Arabidopsis thaliana: one gene and its partners. The protein of the gene in region 3 interacts with the protein of the main gene of each other region in a pairwise test. Each region holds a gene or a part of one and is shown on either strand. Other genes may lie near its edges.

What was found. The genes of interacting proteins can lie anywhere in the genome.
Region 1: the proteins of AT4G01090 (region 3) and AT5G58300 interact in a two-hybrid assay, tested with the Arabidopsis thaliana proteins (one large-scale study listed by BioGRID).
Region 2: the proteins of AT4G01090 (region 3) and AT5G22890 interact in a two-hybrid assay, tested with the Arabidopsis thaliana proteins (one large-scale study listed by BioGRID).

What each region holds. Positions count from the first base shown.
Region 1 is NC_003076.8:23,570,056-23,575,584, forward strand, and holds AT5G58300 (Leucine-rich repeat protein kinase family protein), read left to right. Parts: upstream 1-1,779; 5' UTR 1,780-2,014; intron 2,015-2,132; exon of another isoform or gene 2,133-2,372; intron 2,373-2,747; 5' UTR 2,748-2,765; coding exon 2,766-4,098; intron 4,099-4,184; coding exon 4,185-4,816; 3' UTR 4,817-5,029; downstream 5,030-5,529. Other genes in the region: RPT3 (regulatory particle triple-A ATPase 3), read left to right, coding at 1-141, 242-394, 520-603, 927-1,061; MES18 (methyl esterase 18), read right to left, coding at 5,072-5,353, 5,443-5,529.
Region 2 is NC_003076.8:7,652,757-7,656,502, reverse strand, and holds AT5G22890 (C2H2 and C2HC zinc fingers superfamily protein), read left to right. Parts: upstream 1-1,667; 5' UTR 1,668-1,840; coding exon 1,841-2,962; 3' UTR 2,963-3,246; downstream 3,247-3,746. UniProt on the Arabidopsis thaliana protein: Probable transcription factor. Together with STOP1, plays a critical role in tolerance to major stress factors in acid soils such as proton H(+) and aluminum ion Al(3+). Required for the expression of genes in response to acidic stress (e.g.
Region 3 is NC_003075.7:469,959-475,553, reverse strand, and holds AT4G01090 (hypothetical protein (DUF3133)), read left to right. Parts: upstream 1-1,674; 5' UTR 1,675-2,153; intron 2,154-2,266; 5' UTR 2,267-2,305; coding exon 2,306-4,107; intron 4,108-4,194; coding exon 4,195-4,255; intron 4,256-4,348; coding exon 4,349-4,572; intron 4,573-4,662; coding exon 4,663-4,720; 3' UTR 4,721-5,048; downstream 5,049-5,595.

The DNA.
Region 1 (5,529 bases), on a different chromosome or scaffold from region 3:
GATGTCTTCCGTCTTGCCAAGGAAAATGCTCCAGCTATCATCTTCATTGATGAGGTAGATGCCATCGCTACTGCTAGGTTTGATGCTCAAACAGGAGCCGATAGGGAAGTTCAGCGTATTCTCATGGAGCTTCTTAATCAGGTGAGAACAAATAATGAATTTTAGTTGTAATTCAGATCTTATGTTGTAGAATAATGGATTTTAGTTGTGTCCTTAACTTATTGTGTTGAATTCGATGTAGATGGATGGATTTGACCAGACCGTGAATGTCAAGGTCATAATGGCAACAAACAGGGCAGACACTCTAGATCCTGCTCTCTTACGTCCTGGAAGACTTGATCGTAAGATTGAGTTCCCCCTTCCTGATAGACGTCAAAAGAGGCTTGTTTTCCAGGTAAGTTAATTACTACAAGCACTTAAATAACTAGTTAAAGAGATATGAAACCAAATGTTTTCTCAAAAGAAAGTTTTGACTGATATCTTAGTTTCTGTCTTATTGATTGGTTTTTCCTTGTGTAGGTATGCACCTCCAAAATGAACCTTAGCGATGAGGTTGACTTGGAAGACTATGTTTCACGGCCTGATAAAATTAGCGCTGCTGAGGTTAGTTTATTTTGCTTACCATTCTATTCTTCCCGCTATAGTTTACTTTTACCATGATATATCCTCCAGTGTTTCTGGGTCACCACCTAATGATGTTCTTCAAAATATGCACTTGAGCATAATCATACTGTTTCAAGCATTATGTATGAATGTTAGCTGAGTCGTTTGTTAATCATTGTCCTGAACTGAATTGTTGAGAAATCAATTGTTGGCAGTAATATGGTTTGATTTTATCATGTACATGGGAATTGTTCCTAAAAAGATTGCATGTAATGATGATAGTTATTAATGACACTATTTTGATTTTATGTTGAACAATGCAGATAGCAGCAATTTGCCAGGAAGCTGGTATGCATGCGGTGCGAAAGAACAGATATGTGATACTACCTAAGGATTTCGAGAAGGGCTACCGCGCAAATGTTAAGAAGCCAGACACGGACTTTGAGTTTTACAAGTGAAGAGAAAGCAGAAGTGGAACCAGATTATGGCTGTTGTTAAAATTCCAGTGTGTTTTGAGAATTATTAAGGACATGGAATCAAATTTGCAGTTAAATTAAGAACTAAGTTGCATCTCCTAATTTCTGTAACTCGAGTTCACATTTGTTTTTAGTCTATCAGCTTTTTACAGTTTAATGTATAAGAAAAACTGGGGATGGTGTCCTTAGAATTGCCAGAGCATGGTAATAATTATGTCTCCTCTGATTAAAAAGACAACAAAAATAGTGATGATATTAGGAGCACGCTGCACTGCTCAATGTTCATAGAAAACTTCAGACTTCAATAATGCCTAAATGTGTTGGATCTTGTTTTGGAGTTGGTGATAGATGATGAAATGACCAGTATTACTATTACATAGTATCCGCAAATCAAGAATGATGCAAATCAAGAGAAAACAGTAGCAAGAGTGGTTGGACAGGTAAGAACTATTACCATATCTAAATGATTACTTTAAAAATAACAACTTGGATCAAGATGGTTTTTGTTTTCATGTATTTGTCATTTTGCTATCTCATAAGAATCTTAAGCTTGGTCAGTCTCTGGGTCTCTCTACATTAGCGTTTGTTGCGGTGTTTACACACCAATATGATTTGATCTAAAGACTCCTTTTGAAGACTGTCTTACCCTTAACGAATACGCCTCTTTTGTTTAACTTCACCACACTCTCTCTCTCTTTCTTCTTCTTCTTCTTCTTCTTCTTCTTCTTCTTCTTCTTCTTCTCCACTAGTCCCCACATACATTGCCTTTTCTTCTTTCTTCTCTTTCACCATTTCAAGATTGTGTTATAGTCCGCTCAATGCAGTAGAGTGCAGAGGTCTGAGCGCTCCATCTGCATAAGTTCTTCTTCCTCTATTGCTGAGTTCTTCAGTGCCCACAATTTTCTTACTTCGCTAGCTTACCTCTCTACTCCCAGGTTCTCTTTCTCTCTTCTTCTTCTTTTTGGTTTTTGTATTTTTCCTTTTAACTTTCTGTAATTGTCTGTCTCTCATTGTTGGGAATTATACTTAAAAATCGCCATTTTCTCCGGCTAGGTGGGTAGGAAACTTTCAAGACTTTAGATACAGGCTAGTGACGTGGTATATTAGTTCCAATTCGCTGGCTACACGTTGTTTGTTCAACAACTCCGATAAAAATCAGACACTCAAAACTCATCTTTATTTACTTAGTGACATTGTCCACATGATGGACAGACCTCTGCTTCTTTCTCTAGTGACAATATCTTTTGGCAAAAGGAGTCTGCTTTTCTTTGCTCATCAAAGTTTTGTGTTAAAGTTTGGCTCTTTAGCTTTATTCCTTTTGCTTTTTTTTTTGTGCTGGATGCTTCAATCTCTTATCTTAGCCTCTTGGATTGTTTAATCTCCCAATGATAAAGATAAAGATAGGCAATGGCATACTTTTTCTTGAAGATCTAACTAGTATCTTTATTTGTTTTTTCTTCCCATCTGTAGTTTTTTATATAACTGATATGCTTTTTTCTTTCACAACCGAATATTAGTTATCAACTTTCAATGTTGTGATCCAATAAATGAAGCTTGCTTGGCCAGTTCCTTAGAGATACCTGATTAGCTTAGCTTTCCTTGCTGCTGCATACTGGCTTGTGTAGTGGAAGTCATTGCTTATCATCTTCTGCTTTTCTTTTGGAGCAGGGTCAAGAAGTCAAGCTGATGATGCAGTTCCATTTCCAGTTTTATGTTGGTCCAGTATTTACCTTGAGACCGTCAAAGGGGTTCTTGTCTACTTGTCTTGTCTCTTTCTTGTTTGTCACAACTACTTTCTGCTCTTATGCTATTGCCGACCTGAACTCGGATAGGCAAGCTCTTCTTGCATTTGCTGCTTCTGTTCCTCATCTCAGACGACTCAACTGGAATTCCACTAACCATATCTGCAAATCATGGGTTGGCGTCACCTGCACTTCTGATGGTACTAGTGTTCACGCTCTTCGCCTTCCAGGAATTGGGCTCTTGGGACCAATCCCTCCAAACACACTTGGTAAACTAGAATCACTCAGGATTCTCAGTTTGAGATCAAACCTCCTCAGTGGTAACCTTCCTCCTGACATTCACTCTCTCCCTTCACTAGATTACATCTATCTCCAACATAACAACTTCTCTGGTGAGGTTCCTTCCTTTGTGTCCCGACAGCTCAATATCTTAGATCTCTCATTTAACTCTTTCACCGGGAAGATACCAGCAACGTTCCAAAATCTGAAGCAATTGACAGGGTTGAGCCTCCAAAATAACAAACTTTCTGGACCAGTACCTAATCTTGATACAGTAAGTCTGAGACGTTTAAACTTGAGCAACAATCATCTTAATGGTTCAATACCCTCTGCACTTGGTGGCTTTCCCAGTTCATCTTTTTCCGGAAACACATTGTTATGTGGACTTCCTCTGCAACCCTGTGCCACCTCCTCTCCCCCTCCTTCGCTAACCCCACACATTTCCACGCCTCCATTGCCGCCATTTCCTCACAAAGAAGGTTCAAAAAGGAAACTACATGTAAGCACTATCATTCCTATTGCAGCTGGAGGGGCTGCTCTGCTGTTGTTGATCACCGTAATTATATTATGCTGCTGTATCAAGAAAAAGGACAAGAGGGAAGACAGCATCGTAAAAGTAAAGACTTTGACTGAGAAAGCAAAGCAAGAATTTGGAAGTGGGGTGCAAGAACCTGAGAAGAATAAGCTGGTATTCTTTAATGGATGCTCCTATAACTTTGATCTAGAGGATTTGTTGAGGGCATCAGCAGAAGTACTAGGAAAAGGTAGCTATGGGACAGCATACAAGGCTGTGTTAGAGGAATCCACAACTGTTGTGGTAAAAAGGTTGAAAGAAGTCGCAGCTGGAAAGAGGGAGTTTGAACAGCAGATGGAGATTATCAGCCGGGTCGGGAACCATCCTAGTGTGGTTCCCCTCCGTGCATATTACTACTCCAAGGATGAGAAGCTCATGGTTTGTGATTATTACCCTGCTGGTAACTTATCATCACTACTCCACGGTTAGTTTTCTTCCTACCTTCGTTTAATGGTTTATATTTACCTCGTTGGTGTACTTAAGAATATCTTGATTTCGATGCCATGACAGGTAACCGGGGAAGTGAGAAAACGCCTCTTGACTGGGACTCCAGAGTAAAAATCACACTATCAGCGGCAAAAGGTATAGCTCATCTCCATGCAGCTGGAGGTCCAAAGTTCAGTCATGGAAACATAAAGTCCTCAAATGTGATTATGAAGCAGGAGAGCGATGCGTGCATTTCTGATTTTGGACTGACCCCTCTGATGGCTGTGCCGATTGCTCCAATGAGAGGTGCAGGCTACCGCGCACCAGAAGTAATGGAAACAAGGAAACACACACATAAATCCGATGTTTACAGTTTCGGTGTACTTATACTAGAGATGTTAACTGGGAAGTCTCCAGTGCAATCACCAAGCCGGGATGACATGGTTGATCTCCCGAGGTGGGTACAGTCAGTGGTGAGAGAGGAATGGACAAGCGAGGTGTTTGATATTGAGCTGATGAGGTTTCAGAACATTGAAGAAGAAATGGTACAGATGCTGCAGATTGCTATGGCATGTGTAGCTCAAGTGCCTGAGGTACGACCCACCATGGATGATGTTGTTAGAATGATTGAAGAGATACGAGTTTCAGACTCTGAGACCACTCGGCCATCTTCAGATGACAATAGCAAACCCAAGGACTCCAACGTCCAAGTTTAAATCACCCCTTGGATCTCATTCCCTTTTTATCTATGTTTTTGAGTTTGTATGTCTTATAAGGCTTTATGTTGATTGTTTGAACACCACTCGCCTGAGTAATACCGCAGTTGGAGGCGCGGTAACATTTACATAGCAATTATTATTGTAGGCTCCTTTTTCTGTATCTCATAATATATATGAATATGATTCAGTTTTATGCAAGCTAAGTAAGTATCCAAAAGATGGATTTAAAAGAGTTCCAGAGAGACATAAATATCAGGGAGAAAGAGATGAGGCTGCTTGAAGGAGGAATTGATAGAGTTCTTGAGGTTGGGAGAAAAAAGCAGAGTGGTCACTGTCCGGAAGAAGGAAGGTGTGAGCAGGAGGCCACAGGGCCAACATTACCTCTTGAAGAACTGGTTCGAACAAATGGTCCTTGCCTGTCTTCACGTACACTCTTGGGATTTTGTCAGTCTCTGGAGCTCCCGGAATATCCATTATGCCTATGAATGCCATGACAGGGGCCGGACGCAGAAGTGTGGTTGCCAGTGTGTAATCCTGATCAGAATGAATAAATGAATGATGATGATTCTCTACAAAAAAAATTGAGGCAGAGATGAGAACAGAGTTGGTAATAAAGGACACACCTCCATGGGGCTCTCGTTGTAAAACTTGTCCCGAACATACTCAGGTTTCATCATGATGCTTGTTGGGAGATTTTGTGGTCCATTTCC
Region 2 (3,746 bases), on a different chromosome or scaffold from region 3:
AAATTAAAGTAGTTGAGTTGAATTTGTTTGGTGTAGCATTTTAAAACTGAGGGTAATTATATACATGACATTTGTAATTCAGAGATTCATGTCATCCTACATTCCCATGTTGTGGTGAGCCAGTTCGACTGGCCTATATTAGTGAAGTCTGGTTTAATAACGTCTTATTTACAAATGTGGTTTGCAGGTTGGTTCCCAGCAAAAAGAACTAAAAAACTCTACTAGAATCGCATGTGGAATACACTGTCACTGTAATGGTAGCAGCAACTTCTTTTTTTTAAAAAGCGTTAACTAACGTGGCATTTTTTTCTTCTAAAGGACAAAAAGTAACGTAACTCACCAAAGCTAACCCCAAGAAACAGCATTGATCACCCATATCATCATCACTGCATAGAAATTTTGATTAGTCACCAACAAAACTACTTCTTCCGAAATTAAAAAATGAGCACGCATAAGCAATATTTATTTAATATAATTGCAACTCATGCCGATGGCCACATTATAAACATTTCATGTAAGATCCAATCATATAATCGTATATGCACGCGTGTACAAATATGTGTGCATGAAAAGAAAAAAAAATATGTGTGCATGTAAGCAGATAAGAGAACTGAATGTAGTCGCAACTTTTTTTTTAAAGGATTGGATTTGACATAAGATATTATATAGATGTGAGCTTGACAGTTACAGAACGTATTGTATATAGAACAATACAAGAAAAGGCCATGAAAGAACACTAACACTTGACTTAGGTTAATCATTCTTTAATTACATCGGGATTGACCTTCTTCGTTTATTTAACTCATAAGATGTAGCTGACAAAGTCTAGTTAAGGTTTCATCCGGGGGAGGATTTATGTGGGGATGGTCGCTTTTGCTATCTCGAGTTGACTTCCAAGTTAATCCTAACCACATCACATACTTCTATTATTCCATTTTCAACCTAATGTAAATAATTCATATACATGACAAATGCATTTAGAGAGAAGAAAAAACATCATTCATGACGACAAAAACTTAGTCTATTGAACTTTTCTAGCGTTTTCTCTTGCCAGCATCCGGGTTCATCAAAATCTGTATATTGCATATTATTGTCATTATTGACAAAAAGACATTATTTACAACTTCTATGTATCGTATATTTATAAACGTCTAGATGTCTTTTTAATTTAAAACATCTTTGTAAATCTTTAATTAAATATCTGATTTTAAATAAAATCAAACATAAACATAAACAAATATAGTTGTGGAAGTCCTTTGGCCCAATGGTTGATTAAGGGTTCATCAACCCCCGCTAATTTTTTTTTTCTTTCTAAAACAGATGAATGTAACCTAACGTGTGTCCCGTCTCTAGAAAACATAAAATTCTTAAATTCTAACTTCTAAATTAAGAAAAAAAAACATTACTTGACATAATATATCAATTAGAATGTTTTTTTTTTTAATTACAATATTTTGTTTGGATCAAAATATCTTTTGGATTTTAAATCACTAATAAACTGCAAGGTTCAAAATATAGTTAGGTTCAATAGCTTAGTTTTCAAATTTTACTCAATTTAGTATAATCTTTCCGATTTTAAGATGTTTGATAAAGTGAAACGAAAAAATAAATTACTATATGTGTGACATGTATTTGTTTGTGTGTGTTATTTTGTGTGAATGTATGTCACAACTCGCGAGTATTTTATACGGTAGAGGGTAGGGTGTCTTCTTCATTGCATCTCTCTAGAGTCTGGACCGTCTGGCATATATATGAAACAAATATACCACAAAGAATTTAAAGATTCAACAAAATCCAAAGAAAATATAAGAACAAAACTCAAGCTAGATTCTTCATATACATGCATATACATATGATGAATCGAGATGAGCATATTGCAAAGAAAGTTGAAGGATCAATCTCTAGCTTCTCCGGGGAGACCAGTACTTCCTCAAAACAAATCTATGTTAATCCCGTGACCACGACCGGGACGAAATCAATGGAAGACGACGACGTTTCACTCTCTCTTCTATACAATCTATCTACCTTACATGAAAAAGTCCATCAGATCCAATCTCTGGTCAGCTTCTACATGGTATCTACTAATAACATTAACCAATCCTCGGGGTCAACGTCTTTGGCCGTGGCTAACATCGGAAGTTTGGTTCAAGAGATCATCACGGCTGCTTCATCCATGTTATATACTTGCCAACAACTCCAAATCGGATCTAACAACAACAACAACGATATCGATAATGATCAAACCGTAGATGCAATGGTTTTGGAGTTTTCCCGACAAGAAACCGACCCGGGTCATGATTTTGTGCAAGAGTCGACCAACCTTTTTGGTGTCCAAGAAAGAGGGCAGATCTCGTTTCCCGACCAGAATCTTGATTGGTACAACACCGAAACCATAAACCCTAAAAAAGATAAACATCGTTCTAAACCAAGTTCCGGGAGCTACGATATACTGGAGCTAGACGTAGCGGACCTACTAGCGAAATACACGCATTACTGCCAGATTTGTGGGAAAGGGTTTAAGAGAGACGCTAATCTAAGGATGCACATGAGAGCGCACGGGGATGAGTACAAGACACGTGAGGCCTTGATCAGCCCAACGAGCCAAGACAAGAAAGGAGGATACTCGTTAAAGAAACATTACTACTCCTGTCCTCAACACGGGTGTAGATGGAACCAGAGGCACGAGAAGTTTCAACCGTTGAAATCTGTGATTTGCGCCAAGAATCATTACAAGAGGAGTCATTGTCCCAAAATGTATATGTGCAGGAGATGTAGTGTGAAGCATTTCTCGGTTCTGTCTGATCTTAGGACACACGAGAAGCATTGTGGGGATATAAAGTGGGTTTGCTCTTGTGGGACTAAATTTTCTAGGAAAGACAAGCTGATGAGCCACGTTTCTTTGTTTTTGGGCCACGTACCGGCACATGGGTCGTCCAAGCCGCCGACAATCACCCTAAAGTAAGAACATAGGAAGTTTGAGGTCTATAGAGATTTCATAGACGATATCTCAAGAAATGACACGTGCATTCACTCCCTCTCTTTTTTTTGTTCTTTTTCTTTTCACGAGTTTCTATATTCTCTAAATTAATGTCACAAAGATAAGATAATATACAGATTTGTATCATAGTGACTTGTGCATTAACGTTAATGTTACAAATGATTTTGGTTCTGATGGGTATCATGCATAGATTTTCACTAATCTCAGAAATATGTGGAATCAGTGAGAATCAAAATTTATGTTTAATACGTCTCTCACTTCTCAGATTAATCAACAACTATCTATTGATATATCATGCAGAATTTTAAGAAAATATAAGAAACATCGTTAACTCTGTTAAAATACAACTACATATTAACTTATTAAGATGAGTCCAACTTATTAAGCTGAACTAAATGTTTGTATTTTAGAGAAATTCAAAATTTGTATCTATAAAAAGTTGGTTATTTTTGAAGAATTTTGAAAGAGTTGAAAACTTATAATTATGCATTAGTTCTTCATTTCCATAAAAATGTTAGATAGGAAAAAGTTGTTACCAACTTTGTAGATACGGTAAAATCATAGCCGTTCATTGGTAGACGGATCAAAAGTAACCACGTCAGCTATCCACGCCAAAAACTTTTTCTCTCTTTGCCGCTTCATGAACTTATGGCGGATAACAAAAAGCGCAACAGAAAATTCGAATTTTTCAATATTTCGAAAAAGAAATTTAAAATCACTCGCGCATTAAAGTAAAATAGATCTGAAC
Region 3 (5,595 bases):
GTAGTAAAAAAGTCAACGATAGTTATCCCAAAAATGCAATGTTAATATTTTTGTCAAATCTGATTGGTGTTGGAAAGTGGACTATCTATAAATCCATCTTTAAATGATAGACAGAGACACAGAGTAGAAGACTTTACAGCTGTACGTAGCTTTTTGTATAAACCACAAAAATAGTCAGAAGGCGACCTACACTATGTGATCATATAACACTCCCCATATATCTTTCAAGTCTTCGTTTACGAGGTTAATATTTTTCAACGTTTAGGATCCAGGTTTCTTTTAGATTCAAGTTGTGAATTAGAAAACAAACAAAAGAAGAAGTTTTGAGAGCACGTCTTCTAACATGGAAGCATTAAACTTGACGTATTTTTATGGACTATATTAATCGATATGCTGGGAGGATGATGAAAAAATAAAGAATTTATATATAAATATTAGTTATTTAGGTAAGTATGAAAGATAAATAATATATAAACCAAAAAATTTTTTTTAAAAAAATTAATTACAAAAATGCTATTGAATAAAAATAATTGTAATATTCGGATGATAAGTATATAATTATTTGTTTAATGTTTTAAAAACTATGATATCGCGATAAGTTTATAAATTATTTGTTAAAACATATTTATCGATTTAAAATTGTAAATCAGAATTTTTTATTTATGTATATTCAGCACAATAAAAGGAAATTAGACTTTTTTATATAATTAACATGATAATAATTATAACTACATGATATATAGAATGATAACATGCTAATATATTATATAACAGAATAATATTTATATGAAAACGTTAAGATATTCGATACATGAATAATGTTTACTGTAACGGATAATTTATACATAATATTTACTAATAATTGTTAACGAGGTTAACCTGATGATAACAATGAAAATATTTAGTAACAAAACAATATATGAGACTTTAATTAAAAAAAAGAAAAATACAGAAGAATAATAAAGTAACTTCATTAGTTCTTTTACTGTTGAAATAGTCCACAATTCCTACACCTAATTTTTCAGTCTTCTGAGCATATAAAGTGATATTTTCCTATTTTTATTTACTTTTTAATTGTATTATAATAATATTTGGGTATTTTTGGTTATTATAATAATATCTGAAAATATTATTGATATTTTTGGTTATTTTTATATTTTTACTAAAACAACCGAACCGATCCGAATCCGAACCAAAATCGAACCAAGTTTTTAGAATATCTGAATGGTTCTCAACCTCTTCATATCCGAATAGATTTGATATCCAAAAAAGAACCAAACAGATAGGGATACCCGAATGACCAGACCTAGTATTATTGATATAAAAAAGGTTGCTCAATGTATAATTTCATTTGACTAGCTGGTCTGTTTTCGTACAAACACACTCACAAAAGTACGAAAATAGGAAGTCGTCTTAGTTTTAGAAAATAACTATTGCTGCTTATTGGCATATATTGAAAAATCAAATACTACTAGTAATCGTAAGTTCTAAATTTGAATGTTTTTTTCCCGAGTAATTGAATTGTTCTTAGTAATTAAGTTCACAAATTTGGAAAATTGCGATATCTGAGAACGTATTAATTTACCTGTCGGTAAACAGTCACACTCATGTTTCTAGATTTCGTATATTTTAGTAATAATTTGGTTAGTCTCCTTATCTGCGAGTCAACGAGACCCGGTCCGCTCAACCGTACTACAGTCTAAATTCTAGTTTCACGCGCTTACTTACATTACATACGCGCTCATCTCTTCTTTACTCAAAAGTTTTAAAAAACGAATATCAAATCAACGCTAACAAAGTTTGATTTTTTGCTTCCATCTTCTTCCCCTCCTTAAGTTTTCAAATCTATTCATCAAATTTTCTTTTGTCTTTCCCTTAAGATTCCCGGGAAAGCCAAGGAAAAACGCTAGAAGAAAATTAACATAATAATGTTAATTGTTGCTTAAACCTTCCAGCTCAAGTTTGGTAGTAAGTAAGCAGACATTTAATCCCCCAAGAAGCAATTGAAGAAGACTTTTAATTCTTCTGAATTTTCTTTCCAAAAACCCCTTTTTAGAAAATTGGTTGCATCATAGAGATTGGTTCATTTATTCCCACCGGAGAAGATCATCAAATTCGTCTTCTCACCTATATCGCCGACGACATTCTTCACGGTTCGTTTGATTTCTACCTGTTGGTTCTTCGTTTTATCTGAATTCAATCGGAGATATATGTTTTTGAGTTCGAATTTGATAAAAAATCGAAACTTTTTTGATTTGAATCGCAGTTGGAAAAAAACAAAGCAAAACCCTAGAAATAGTGGCTGATGAGGTCGCGAGGCGATGTCTCTGAAGCAGAAGGTACGAGATCAGATGCTGGTTCTTCAAGAAGCGAAGAAGAAACGAGTCTGAAGGAGAAACACTCAAATTCGCGAGCTGGGTCTCAAAGATCTGGAAAAAGCTTGAGAAATGACGAGCCTAATTACGGATCAGATTCTTCATCTAAGAACACAAGCAGCAGCAACAACCCTATTGAGTATACAGAGCATGAACGAGCTGAGCTTTTAAGAAGGTTAGATTCTATCAAAGATCATCTACTTCGCGGTGGTGGTGGTGGTAATAATGTAGTTGATAAACCTAAAGAACCAGATCAGAATCAGCCTTTCCTTAGACCAGTTCATCTTCATGGTCATGCTAATCATAATCCTGGTCCTTCTTATTACCATCAGTATCCAGAACCTATTCAATACCCTGGACCGGTTCATGGAATGTATCCTCAAGCTTATCAAGATCCTTATGGGTACCAAAGAAGACCACCTCCAGTTCCTAATCCAAACTGGTATCCTCCTGGTCATTACCCTAATCAGATGGCTCGTCAGTATCCTGGAGGTCAATATGTTGAACTTGGTCCTGATATAGTTGAGCCACATTCTTACTATCCAGCTACTCCTGGTAGGTACGGTGACCTGCCTCCGTATAGCCCGGTTTCGTCTCACCATCGTGAAGAGAAACTCGCTACACAGTACAGTGATATGCCTCCGTATAGCCCGGTTTCGTCTCACCATCGTGGCGAGAAACTCACGACACCGTATAGTCCACGTGTTAATAACGGTTCGAGTTTTCCTTCTTCGATGGGCACTCCAGGTCCTCGAGGTGGTTATGCAAGGTGGCCGAGTGAACATGATTCTGAAATGGGCGGTGCTTTTGCTCGTGGGTATGTTAAGAAAGCTGTATCGGATACTGGTGTTCGACGTTGTCATCCTCTTGCTGGTGGTGCTCCTTTTATAGCTTGTCATAGTTGCTTTGAGCTGCTTTACTTGCCTAAGAAGAAGCTTTTGTCTCAGGAAAGGTTACATAAGCTGCAGTGCGGTGCTTGTTCTGAAGTTATTAGTTTCACAATCGTTGATAGGAAACTCGTTTTCTCTTCTGGTAATGAGGAAACAAAACCGGTCTCTCTAGAGGTTGAAGATAGAAACACAACAAACACAGTAGTGATAGAGGAGGAAGTCTCTTCTGTTGATTTCAACAGCTCAGGTAGAGATATTCCACGTAAGGATGAAGAAGAACCAGTGCAAGAACTGAGAAATCATCAGGATACTATTACTACGCAAAGCGTCCGCTCTGAATCTCAACACTCAGATGATGAAGAAAGATCGAGCAATTCTAGTGAACAACAACAGAAGGAGGTCAAATCTGTTCGTCGGCGAGGTAAAGGGTCAAAAGCACCTGAACCCGCTGCTCCTGATAATGCCAGTCTCCTTGAACTTTTTGAGTATTCTAATGTAAACAGAGCTGCACTCGCTTATGGAATGGCGCAGTTAGGTTATGAAAAGCCAGATAAGCAAAAGTCTTTCATGACACAGGACTCGCTGAAACCAGAATCAGTAGCTACAGAGACAGAGGTTTCTTACAATGGATACTCTAACACCGAGATCTCAGAAGATTCAAGGTACTCAAACAGAAAGGGTAGTGAGTACGGTTCGACAGAGATCACAACGAGGTCCTCTACTGATCAAAACGAAGACCAGATGAAGTCATTAGAGGTTTGGGTTAATGGACATCTTATACCAGAAGATCTTGTTAGCAGTGCTGAGAAATTAGCTGGACCAATCCAAGCTGGAAAGTATTGGTACTTCCATGAACTTCAGCATCCACTGTTTCTCTCTTGTTTTTGTTTTTCCCTTTACTCAGTTTCTGATACATGTCTCTGATTCAGGTATGATTACCGAGCTGGGTTCTGGGGAGTGATGGGCAAACCGTGTCTCGGTATAATACCTGTAAGTACCTTCACATTGTTCTCTCAAGTTGATTATTGGAATGGTGTCATCAAATTGATGAAGAAATGGTTGACTTACTTGTTGTTGTTGCAGCCATTTATTGAAGAGTTTAGCCATCCAATGCTGGATAACTGCGCTGCAGGAAACACAGACGTGTTTGTGAATGGAAGAGAGCTTCACAAGAGAGATTTCGAGTTACTTGTGGGTCGTGGTCTGCCTAGAGACAAGAACCGTTCTTACATTGTTGATATATCAGGAAGAATCCTTGATCAAGATTCAGGAGAAGAACTTCACAGCCTTGGCAAATTAGCCCCAACGTAAGCAGATTCACACAAATGATTTTTATTCTTTTGAGATTTTGAGATCACCTAAGATTCTAAAGTTTTAGTGTGTTAAACTTGAAACAGGATTGAGAAAGTGAAGCATGGATTTGGTATGAGAGTTCCAAGATCATTAGCTTCATGAAAACTCCCCCTAGTAACAACTACACAACCAAAATATGATTCTGCTTCTTGTTTCCATCTTCATATTATTTATTTGTTAAACACAACTGTAAAGTGTTTTTTACATCTTGATTTTGATTTTTGGTATTCTTTTTAAAATATCTTTGGGGAAATGTCTGTATGTTTTTTATTGCGACCAGAACCGGTTTAGGGGTTATAGACTGTATACAAACCGGGTTCTCTCGGTACAAGGTTTGTGCTTTGTATTATTTCCATTTTTTTATGGAATGATATTAGTTTGCTCTTAATGACTTTTTTTTTTATCTCTTTTATTGCTCTTTTGTAAGTTGTAACAGAAGCTTCATCGATAACATGGTTTACTCCTCCTAATTCCTTATTATCTCTGGTTTAACTAAATCGTTTATTTAAACCGGTTTTGGTTTGTAGGTTTCTTTCATGTCAGCAACAATATATGTAGGTCATTCGACCATACTCAACAATTCAATTAAACAATGTTCTCCTAGCTGATCTTTCTTTCTTCATGATTAGCTTCTAGGCTTGATTTGCCCTTTCCTCGAGTTCTAGGTGAATTATGGATTGGGATTATCTATCTATCGGTTAGTTATCCGGTTTCATCTTTCTTTCCACTAAAATGTTCATATTGTCTGCTAATTCCTCTCTTGGCTGATGGACTAGTTTTTGCACGTTTCTGAAGTGGGTCCTTCCTAAAATACAAGACAACAGATTATAACTTACTCATGGGCCCAATATCAATATCAATATCAAACAAGAAAGAGAATCTGTTCTTAACAGGCCTCGTGGTCCGTTCGTTTAGTTTTCATGTTTCAATATTTCTTAGAAAAATACAAAATTAGAGTAAGAACAAAAAGATACTAA